Drosophila melanogaster: one gene and its partners. The protein of the gene in region 1 interacts with the protein of each later gene in a biochemical or structural test. Each region holds a gene or a part of one and is shown on either strand. Other genes may lie near its edges. The genes, in order: ProtB, dhd and P32.

Region 1 (4,047 bases):
GTTGTTCTGTAAAAATAAATTGTAATTCGTTTTATTTCACTTACCTTTATAAAGTTTTTTTTTTTAAACCAAATTTTTGTCACAACTAATTTTTAAGAAGAGCATAAAAATAAGACTTTTGGAAAAATTTTGCTTGTGAACTGTTTGTGTACCAAGTTACAACTAATGTTTAAAAAAACCGACTGCCCGGTATAAGGGGTATACGGCAAAACCTACGCCAACTATATGGAATAAAGTTAGATTTGATCGAAACGACGCCGGCGGATACGCATCCTGGGAAACATCCTTCTGTTAGGTGGTTACGCCCCCATGTTTCCCTTTGCCAGTGGCAGTGTGGCAAGTTTTCCTCATAGGTGGCATAAATTATGTGAAACAATTTTTGGGTATTTCGATTGTCTCACAACAGACGCCTGGTCAGAGAACTGTGGAAAAGCTTGAAGCAGAAGCCTATCCATATCTTCGAATTCACCATTGCCGTGCCCATTTACCACTCAGCCGTTTCATTTCTTTGGATCACAGCTCATTAGAAAGCTCATATAGTGGAATAATAAATTGAATTTCGCCGGGCACCTGGAACAACCACAAATACCCATTCGCGCTATTCCAACATCCTAGAATCGTAAAAAAAATGAAACCCGGTTTTTAATTTTTTTTATTTCTAAATTCATCGAATGGTATCAAATCAATGAAAATATATGCCTGGACTTAACTGCATCAGACTTTTTCCTATCTCAGTATTACTTGCAAATCCGTCGGCGCTTGTGGCGTTCACTGGTGGTGACCTTGCATGCCTGAAAGGACAAATTAATAGTCTTCATAATATAAAAAAAAAATACGTACCATCCGGCGGTATCTATCCTTTCTATGCTCCGGGAGCTCGGCCCACGCTTTAGCGGCCTCTGCAATTAATTCCTGCGGCTTCAAGTCACAGTGCTTCTTTCGGAAGAAACGCACGAAATTCAAATAGGCGTTGTTAGTGACAGGTCCCTGCTTGCTGCACTTCTGACTCGGTGCACACTTGACCTTGGGCCGAGTCGCCTTGGCACAGGCTGCCTTTCGGCGCGGCTTTGCACAGGACTTCATTGGCTTACATTTGGGCGGTGCTCTCCTCTTTGGATGATTACACATTTCAGTGAGACCTTTAGGACTTTCATCTTTTGCAGAAATGGAAATTATGCCATTCCACAGGCTCTTGCACTCATTTACATTATTTGAACTCATCGTAGAAAATTTTTACAAACTCTGAAAAGAAAAGGAAAGGGAAGTTTTATATGGGATTTATTTGTTGTGTACGATGTCAGCCATCAACTGTGATGGAGTATGTTCCCCCCGCATGTGAGTGTTGGCCCCAGAAGCCGCAGAGTTGCGTCCTAGAGAAGTCACTTATTCAGTGAGCAATCCGAGTCTCAAACCAAAAGTAAAGCCCAAGCCCTACCGACCAGGATGAAGACCTGAACAGCAGGAGACAAGCGGTTGCAACTGCAACAAAGCCCATAATTAATAACAGTTGCAATCTGATTCCCGACGTTGTTTTGTAACGAACAAAAAGTTGATCAATCAGGACGTGTAATTTATTTACAATTTCACTCTGACAACGAAAGAAAGAACTAAGAGTTTCTCTTTAGATTAACTGGATCTTTCTTTCGGCCGAACCGCGTGAACCGCTATGATTTATTTAATTGCCCGCGCTTGCTGCCAGTGTTGTTGCAGCATGTAAATAACGTCATTACAAGGCGTGGGGCGTGGCAAGGTGGTTGCCTGTCGACAGACTGCCCCGGCATTAGTTTAAAGCCAGATAGGAGGGCCACATCCATCCGACATCGAGACAAACACGCCGGCCGCCAAAAAGGCGTGGCCGCCGAATTTCCGCTTTGACTTGCAACACTTTGGTGCAACACGCCCCATAACCTTGCAGTCGACATTATTTTAATCGCATCTCAATGAATTTTACAGAACTGAATTTCACAAAAGCTTCTTTAAAAGAGAATTATAAAAGTAAAATTTTTTTTCAAATGAAGTTTATCGAAACTGATTAGCATACCAATAGAAAGTAATTATGCGCTTCGTTTTAAACAATTGATTTGTTGGTATGTTATTTTGTAAAAATAAATCGTAATTCGTTTTATTTCACTTACCCTTATGAAGTTTTTTATAAAAACCAAATTTTTGTCACAACTAATTTTTAAGAAGATCATAAAAATAAGACTATAAATTTTTGGAAAAATTTTGCTTGTGAACTGTTTGTGTACCAAGTTACAACTAATGTTTAAAAAAACCGACTGCCCGGTATAAGGGGTATACGGCAAAACCTACGCCAACTATATGGAATAAAGTTAGATTTGATCGAAACGACGCCGGCGGATACGCATCCTGGGAAACATCCTTCTGTTAGGTGGTTACGCCCCCATGTTTCCATTTGCCAGTGGCAGTGTGGCAAGTTTTCCTCATAGGTGGCATAAATTATGTGAAACAATTTTTATACCCACTATTGCTCGTGCCAAACTCTATGCGGCTTATTAAAATTTCTAGCCGCCGGGCTAACAAACTCGGTGTGGCTAAGAAATTTTGGGCGAAACGTCTTGGGGATTCCGATTGTTTGGACATGTGTGAGGTTTTCTATTATCTGTAAAATGTTATGATTTATTATGTGCGGGCTCAAGTTGATGGTGCGGCCATAAATTGCGACCCTTTGGAGTCTTTGCCTTTGGCTTTGCCTCTGCCGTTGGCTTTGCCGCTTCCTTTTCCGTCGGTTCATCTTTGGTCTCTGCCTTTTCCAGCACCAGTTAAGTCAATTAATTGGCCTTAGATTTATTAGTTTTTACCCCGCTGTTCCTCGCGCCTTTAGCATAGGTGCCGTGATTTATTGTTGCAGGAATGCCAAAACAACAAAGGGAAATTCCTCGGCTTTGACTTTGGCACGCACACAGGGAGAGTAGACAAAGTCCAGGTGACTGAGGAGGTGTGGCATTTGCATATAAATAGATATGTCAGCTAAAATATGAACCACATGAGTCGGGTCCTGTGTACTATATTTTGTTACTTCCGCCTCGCGGCGAAAACGCTTCCATTGCGTGTCGCGATAAATACAAATTTCAAGTTCTCCGTTCTCATTTTCCATTAAATTAGCCTCAGTGTCAAATACTGACACCCAAACTGATGTACCCAGGGGCGGGTAGGACACTCATTGTAGCCTGATGCTACGCTACTGAATTATTAACTGGGTCAAAGTAAGGGCACACATAAAAGTATCAGTGTCCGCATCTTATGAAACAAACTGTCAAGAGGTTGACATTTAGCTCGCAATGATGGGGACATTCGGGTAGCGAAACAAGGCAATTATTTTTGTATTAAGATATTTTAGGGTAAACATTTTTAGAGTGGGCGTGGCAAAAAGTTTTTAAGTAGAAATGCATAAGACTAATAATAATATGAAATATATATATGTGTCTATGTCTCTAGAGCATGTACGTATGCATGTATCTCAACCTTCTAGCTTTTACAGTTCCTGAGACAGTCATGTCCAGTTCGACTCGGCAGTTGATCCTGATCAAGAATATATATACTTTATATGGTCGAAAGTGGTACCTATTTATAAAAATCAGCTTTAAATTTAAAAATCCAATCAATCACAGCAGCCCAAATAGCAATAAATAAGTCGCAAAACGTGAGCGACGGAAAACGAAATGATTTTCATCCAAATCATGTTGACAAATTTGGCTATAGGCCAAAGGGCATCACGTCATCACATGGGCTAAGTCCTCGAATCAAGTGCAAGGAGTCGCATATGTGAGTGCTCGCAATGACGCCCAGATTATCATCGCTGCTGGATGCTGTTTTCCTGCTCCCCGAATGCCCCGTTTGCCATCGGGTTGCCGGTGTAATAACTTAAAATCCCATAATAAAGCTACTTACTGCCTTCGTCGTTGGCGCTGTCCTCGTGGCTCTAACAATAACTATTTTTCTTTGGATTTGGCTGGCGATGTGGCTCGAATTGAGTTCCAGAGGCTTTCTGCCACCGCAAATGTGCAAGTCAAGTGCATACGTCAC
Region 2 (3,446 bases), on another chromosome or scaffold:
GATGCTGTCCATGCTGTTCAATCAGTTCCCCGGCTTCAAGGAGGTGCGTCTTGTGCCGAATCGTCACGACATCGCCTTTGTGGAGTTCACCACCGAGTTGCAGAGCAATGCCGCCAAGGAGGCGCTGCAGGGCTTCAAGATTACGCCGACGCACGCCATGAAGATAACGTTCGCCAAGAAGTGAACGCAACTCCAGTCGCCGGGCGTTCCAGCAACTCCAATAATAATTTAAACTATAGAATAAATCGATATAAACAAACAAACTACGAGTATTCCATATGCCCATATCCCTCCCATATCCCATTTCGCCCAAAGATCCTTAAAGGCAAAAGTATAGAATAGAATAGTTGATTGTTTATTGTGTAGATCTATTTGTTTGTCTGCAAACTTATAACTAACAGCTAGTAATGCGTATTATTTATGTCGGTCGATTGTACATATTTCCATTTAGTGTATAGTATATGGTGTATAGTAGTATATATATATATATATATAGCGTCCCTTTGCTCAGTCTGCATGGTGTATCAAGCTCGCTGCAAAATCAACATCAGTTTGGTGTGCGGGAGCGTGTGTTGAGTAAGTCCCACAAGTCCTCGGATTCCCAAAATGTTTGCTATATGTAGAATCGTTCAGCGACGTAGTCCTCCTCCGCCGTAACAACATCATCAGGCTTACAATTGTAATGCAATCATCATACTTTAGGCACCACAAATGATGAGTATTATGAGTGTGCATAATAAATCTGGGATAAGTGTGTGTATTATATATATATATATATATATATACATCGATAAGTGTGTGTGTGTGTGTGTGTGTGTGTCTATGTATATATATATATATATATCTATTGCTTTCTTCCGTTACGTCTGTTGAATGATGAGCTGCAGGAGAAGGAGCAGGGAATCGGTTATGTGACCACAATGCTTGCACTCCGGCAATCGTACTTACATACATATGTTGTCGTTATGTTCGGAGTGTAATGGTACTTTTGCCTAGTGCTCCAGAACGGCATTCTCGTCGTGGGCGGACACCTCATTAACGTTGTTGTTGTCGTTGTCGCTTTCACTGGACTCGGCGGTCAGATCGACAATGCATTCGCCATCGATATGGACGGCCTTAACGTCGGCCGCTTCATCGGTATAAACGCCGGCATGCTTCTCCATCAATTTGGCCAGCTTATCGGAATTGCAGCCAACGAAGAGCTCCAGCACATTGCCGCCCTTGATGAACACAAAAGTGGGCATGCTATTCACATTGTATTCGACCGTAATGTCCTCGTTCTCGTCCACGTTCACCTTGAGTACGACGACACGGTCCGAGTACTGCTGCGCCAGTTCGTCCAGCTTGGGTGCTATTATCTTGCAAGGTCCGCACCAGTCTGCATAAAAATCAATTACCACCAGCTTGTCCTCGGCGAGGATTAGCTGCTGGTCAAGATCGTCCTTGTTCCGCACTGGGTACACCATGACTTTAACTAAATTCCAAACGGATTGCAAATCGAAACGAAACAAAAAAAAAAAAAAATGGGAAGAGAAGAAAGAAAAAAAAAAGGAAAATGTTAGAAAATCTTGTTTTGGGTGTAAAATTCACTTGATTTGTTTTGTTACTTTTGAATTTTAATGGAGCTCTGCCCTCGCCGAGATATCAGCCCGAAATGAAAATTGTAGGGCGGCAGGCGTTCTTTTATACAGTTTTCGCCAAATATTTTGCGGCCTTCTTGGATTGAAAAAAAAGTGTTTTCAAATGTCAGCGGCGCGGTGTGTTGAGGTGAGTTTGGCTTCGAACCTACCACGGCTATGGCAACACTCGAGGAAAATATTAGTACTATGTCGTGTGACGCCATTATTTTGCCATAATTACGATAATAATATTCATATCGATATCGATAGACCTGCCGTGGTGAATAAGTATGTTCCCCACCCCCCAACACACTCGGTTGGCTTTCCCAACGACCTGGCAACCCTAACACGCCCGCCATTTTGCACTCTCCATGGGCCGCCATTTTGTTTAGCGGCCACGCGAGAATTCAGCATGCAAATTGGCGGGAATTCCACTCTACACACCGCCACTTGGAGACCCCTATAAAGTCGCCTACGCAGCCGCCATTTCAATCAGTTCACAATTTGCAGCGAAAGCGCCAACAGCCCCATCACGTCAAGTTCTTTAATTTAAAAAAAAGAAGAAAAACACTTTGCTAATCCTCGCGACATAAAAATGGCATCCGTACGCACCATGAACGACTATCACAAGCGCATCGAGGCGGCCGACGACAAGCTAATCGTGCTGGATTTCTATGCGACATGGTGTGGTCCCTGCAAGGAAATGGAGAGCACCGTCAAATCGCTGGCCAGAAAATACTCCAGCAAGGCGGTGGTGCTCAAGATCGATGTGGACAAATTCGAGGAGCTGACGGAGCGCTACAAGGTGCGCAGCATGCCAACGTTTGTCTTTTTGCGCCAAAATCGACGCTTGGCCTCCTTTGCCGGCGCCGACGAGCACAAGCTGACCAACATGATGGCCAAGCTGGTGAAGGCGTAAGCAGCAATCCTGCCCAGCAATTAGCAATCAGCAGCGCATCTTTTTTTTTTTACTTATTTAACTCATCTTTTAAACATGTTCGCCTCATTTGTGTTCGTTTATGTATTCGATGTTATGTGTATGCTCATGTGATGTTTAGCTTGTAAGCGCGAGATGTGGGTAGCAGGAGATGCAGTGCAGCCAACAGCAGTGACCAGATGATATATGCTATGCTACTACTACTACTTATATGCTATGATTTGTGGCGCGGAGGCGTGTCTGCGACACATAATCCCGCCCATTTAGCTTTAAGATTCAGGCACTAAGAAGCAATTCGATCAATAAATTATTGTAACCACTCTGGACATTTAAATGTTAACATGGAATCAGCTTTGTTTTTTTTTTGCCCACAGCATTTGGATTGTTAACCAAGTAGGCGCTGCGTGGTCATGTCATTTCGGGTTCCAGCAACATTTGGCATTTGCTAACCAAACTTGAGATCACACACACGAAAAACAAAAAATCCCAAACATTCCGCAGCACAAATTCAATCAAATCCAAAACGCACATTTCGGTCGCATCCAAATTGTACGGATTTCGTTAGTAAATAAAAATCAAATTTCGTGTAAATCCAATCCATAATCCGTGGTAGAGTAGAAACCACACCATCATGTCGTATCAGATCAAATCGACGCCCTACTTTCGTCGCATGTTCAACGAGAGCAAGAAGAATGGCCAACTGCAGCGTCTGCGTGATGAGTACGAGCGCATCCAGGAGTTCAACGATCGCACCATCGAAATGAAGATGCGACAGGTGCGATTAAAGCGGCTATTTCGCGAGATCGAGGTAATTAAGGTGGCTGGCGGGGCGGCCGGTGGCGCCAGCGGTGGCGGCACATCGACGGCATCATCGCCATCGAATGTTGACC
Region 3 (3,515 bases), on another chromosome or scaffold:
AGACAGAATCCGTCTTTGAGTTTCTTAGAAGTATATACAAGCCTATGATTAGGTAATGGTCGCAGTTCTTATTATTGGTCGTATAAAAAAAAGCTTTTTAACGAAATATATAAAATCCATCTTAATGACAAAGTATGACATTACATGGCCTCCACGCTGATAATCCTGCTTATTGTGAAACAATAACACATATAGGTCGTACATTAATGGTAAATCCCATCGCCCAATAAACAGATCGGAGTACTTCCCCAAGAGAAAGGTCACTATTTCAACGATAAGGTGAGGCAATCTCACCTATAAAGAGGAGCATTAAAAGCTGCAGCACCACAATCTAAAGTTAACTTGCCGTTAATCAAGATGCAACTGCTGCCAATCCTCGTGCTCCTCGCTCTCCTCATCTGCGCCGCCTGCAAGAACCACGAGGACTGGGGAGGATACCGACCAAGTGACTACGATCCCAGGCCATATTTCCGGCAGTTCTAAATGATCACGAAACTCAACCCACAGGAAAATCTTTACGAAAAATCGATGCAACCATAGAAAGAAAATAAACAAAAAAAAAAACTAGGGAATTAACGTTGTATTTGTTAAAAACCAAAGCGAAGCTGATGCCGAAAAGGGTGAATTATTGGCAACCGTTTCTATAGTTTTATCTGAAACATGTATGAATGTTTTATGGCTTAAAAACTAAGTTTCACTGTCACAGTTAAACCAAAAACACAACTAATAAAAACTGTTTTAGGTGATGAAACTGCGACAGCAGACAATAGAAACTTAAAAACCTACACAACTTTATGCTTTAAGATTAAGTGGGACGAACATTCACTTGCCACCGGCAGTGAATTTGGAGAGCTTTTCCAGCAGACCAATGTAGGAAGTGTGCTCATGGGCAGTGGCTAGGTCCGACAGTTTTTCGGCAAACTCCTGACTGATGCCCTTCTCCTCCAGCAAGTTGATCAGCAAGTCGTACAAGTAACCGTCAAGCACGTCGCCTGCGACGGCGTAGACCTTATCGTTCCACTCGCCCTCGAAGATGGCCATTTCATCAATGGAGAAGACATCGTCTGAAAGGTAAAACCTGTGTTATCGGTGAATCAAAACGATTTCTGTCAAAGTACTCACTGTACTCGCCCTCCTGAGCTTCGCCTTGAAGGAAGCTGCAGGTAAAGGACAGCGTAGAGTTGCCCTTTATGATGTCCACCTCGAACTGGGGCTTGCTTCTCATTTCACCGAGATCCGGCTTGTCAGCATTGGGGTTGATTTCGGGCTCCTCCTCGCTGTCCACCGTATGGTTCACATTGAAGCTGACCACCACCTTTTCCTTATCCGTCTGCTTGGTGAGCTCCACATCGGCGCCGGTCAGTTTTACGGCGAATCCATCCAGGGTGCTTGGCACCGTCTTGCCCTTTTGAACCTTGCGCTCGGCCACTATCTCCTCGGTGAGGAACTCCACCAGTTCCCGCTCACCTGGATATAAACAAAGCGTTTAATTTTCTGTGTTTTGGTCAACATTTCGTCACCCAACGTTTGAGGTTATGTAACCGGCGGCATGGACCGCCCATGTAAGAATTTGTTGAGTTAACTTACATTTGGTGTGCACGTTGCAGCCGCACGTGCAATTAATGCTGGGCTTGTGGAGATTCAACACGGTTACATGATCGGATCCTCCGGCTGTCACCGGCTTTTTGGTCATGTGCCACAGGCTGCGGGTGAAATCGCGCTTGCCGAGAGATCCGGCACTGGAGCTGGCCAGAGCGGCAAATCGCATGGTTGCTGTCCTTAGGCTGTTCATTTTGTTATATAACCGCGACCTGGGCTTTTTACTTTAATTAAACACTGAAATGTGCAACACGCCAAAAGTGTAGTGCCTGGTGTGACCGTTGAATCTTATTCAGAAAATCACGAGGCTGATGTATTGTAGAGCCATATCAGAAGTTATCGATCATTTTTCGGCGCGAAAGGCTTTATCGTAAACTATTCAAATTTTGAAATTAGCCTTTATTGGAAAAATGATTGATTTCAATAAATATAACCAAACCATATTTGCTGTAAAAATTCAATGTTTCATAGATCCGAACCTATTAAAAGACCACATTGAGTTATGAAAAAAATGACGACTTTATTAGATTTACGAATTGCTTATCGGATGTATACAACAATATACACATTACAAGGACATACACAGTAATAAAAACTAAACACCATGAAGGGTTTTCTCTGGTTCTTGATCCTCCGAGTGGAAGACCCATTCCTACGCAATATTATCATGCATGCAATCAGACTCGTTCGTCATATATATCATTGTTTTTCAACCAAAAGGCATATCATTTCATCTTTCTAAAATTTCAATAAAATCTATCACAATATGAGAAATCATTACATTACGTTTTTTTTTGTAAGATTTAAAAATATTTTATATATAGCTTTTATCGGGATTTTCCATTTTTAAGACTTTCTTATGTTAAGATTTAGACATTAGGCGTACATATACGTATAAAAATATATTAATTACGATGAAAATTGCATTTTACACGTTTTAAAAATAAAATTGCCATTGTACATTGTATTTATGCAACTTCTTTAGTGGGACGGACAACAGCTTAGAAATTAAACATAAAATTATTAAAATGCTGATTTACGTTGATTGCCAACCAAGCTCATTATTTCCATCCAAAGCTTACAAGTTTAGCGTTAAGGCCTAGATTCGACACGATTTTATACTATTTATAAGGCTTGCTGTTGTTGCAGTGTTCATTTATTTTCGCTTTCTTGTGCGTTTTTCCATCTGATGATGTGGGGGCTGCGGTGTCAGTTCTTATCAAACAGCCTCATAGAAGTTTTCTTCGTTTCTTAGCCTAGTTCGTACTTTTAATTACATTCTATGTTCAATTCCTTATAGAGCTTATGTTAGATACAATTTTACGCTTTTGTTAGCCACAAAGCATAGAGCTTTAAAGTCTCTGTCGCATTCTGTTAGTTCTCCACAAAACAAACTCATATAGAATAATTAATCATTCAGTCTAACAAAATACTTGTTGAATATTCGATTGAATTTCGAGAAATAATTGGGGCTGGTCCGCTTCGGGTTCGATTTCGGTATGCATGATATGTGATTAAATTTGTACAGCTCTAATATTTGCACTTAAAGATTATACATTAAGAGTACACATAAGGGGCGACACAATCGGGCTGCGTAGCCAAGAGCCGGCACTCCTATTTTGGACAGCAAAGGTCGACGTCAGGGGAATGCGGAATGCTTCGGGTTAGCTCCAGGCTGCGGCAGCCCGCACACTACGTTGTCAATAAATTTAACTAAATTTTGACAAAGAAACTAAGCTTACGCAAATTTTACATCAAATTAAATTACAATACAAGCTAAGTAAAAAAGACGCAACAGCTCTGCTTCCTATCTTTCGGATGCGTTTCAAACGCATCCGAGACTGTCGTTTACATTATTCGCAAATTGGGTGGGGGGTTACTATAACTAACAGCAACATAAACAACGAAAATATGTT

The links.
Region 2: of the proteins of ProtB (region 1) and dhd, one has a biochemical effect on the other in vitro, tested with the Drosophila melanogaster proteins (one study listed by BioGRID).
Region 3: of the proteins of ProtB (region 1) and P32, one has a biochemical effect on the other in vitro, tested with the Drosophila melanogaster proteins (one study listed by BioGRID).

The regions. Positions count from the first base shown.
Region 1 is NT_033779.5:14,881,467-14,885,513, forward strand, and holds ProtB (protamine B), read right to left. Parts: upstream 2,256-4,047; 5' UTR 2,136-2,255; intron 1,243-2,135; 5' UTR 1,222-1,242; coding exon 841-1,221; intron 792-840; coding exon 738-791; 3' UTR 635-737; downstream 1-634.
Region 2 is NC_004354.4:5,310,246-5,313,691, forward strand, and holds dhd (deadhead), read left to right. Parts: upstream 1-1,925; 5' UTR 1,926-2,214; coding exon 2,215-2,538; 3' UTR 2,539-2,877; downstream 2,878-3,446. Other genes in the region: snf (sans fille), read left to right, coding at 1-184; TrxT (thioredoxin T), read right to left, coding at 993-1,466; CG4198 (uncharacterized protein), read left to right, coding at 3,188-3,446. UniProt on the Drosophila melanogaster protein: Participates in various redox reactions through the reversible oxidation of its active center dithiol to a disulfide and catalyzes dithiol-disulfide exchange reactions. As a reducing substrate of peroxiredoxin 1, thioredoxin 2 is preferred over thioredoxin 1.
Region 3 is NT_033778.4:17,670,743-17,674,257, forward strand, and holds P32 (P32), read right to left. Parts: upstream 1,899-3,515; 5' UTR 1,793-1,898; coding exon 1,588-1,792; intron 1,468-1,587; coding exon 1,123-1,467; intron 1,065-1,122; coding exon 823-1,064; 3' UTR 567-822; downstream 1-566. Other genes in the region: IBIN (induced by infection), read left to right, coding at 358-483.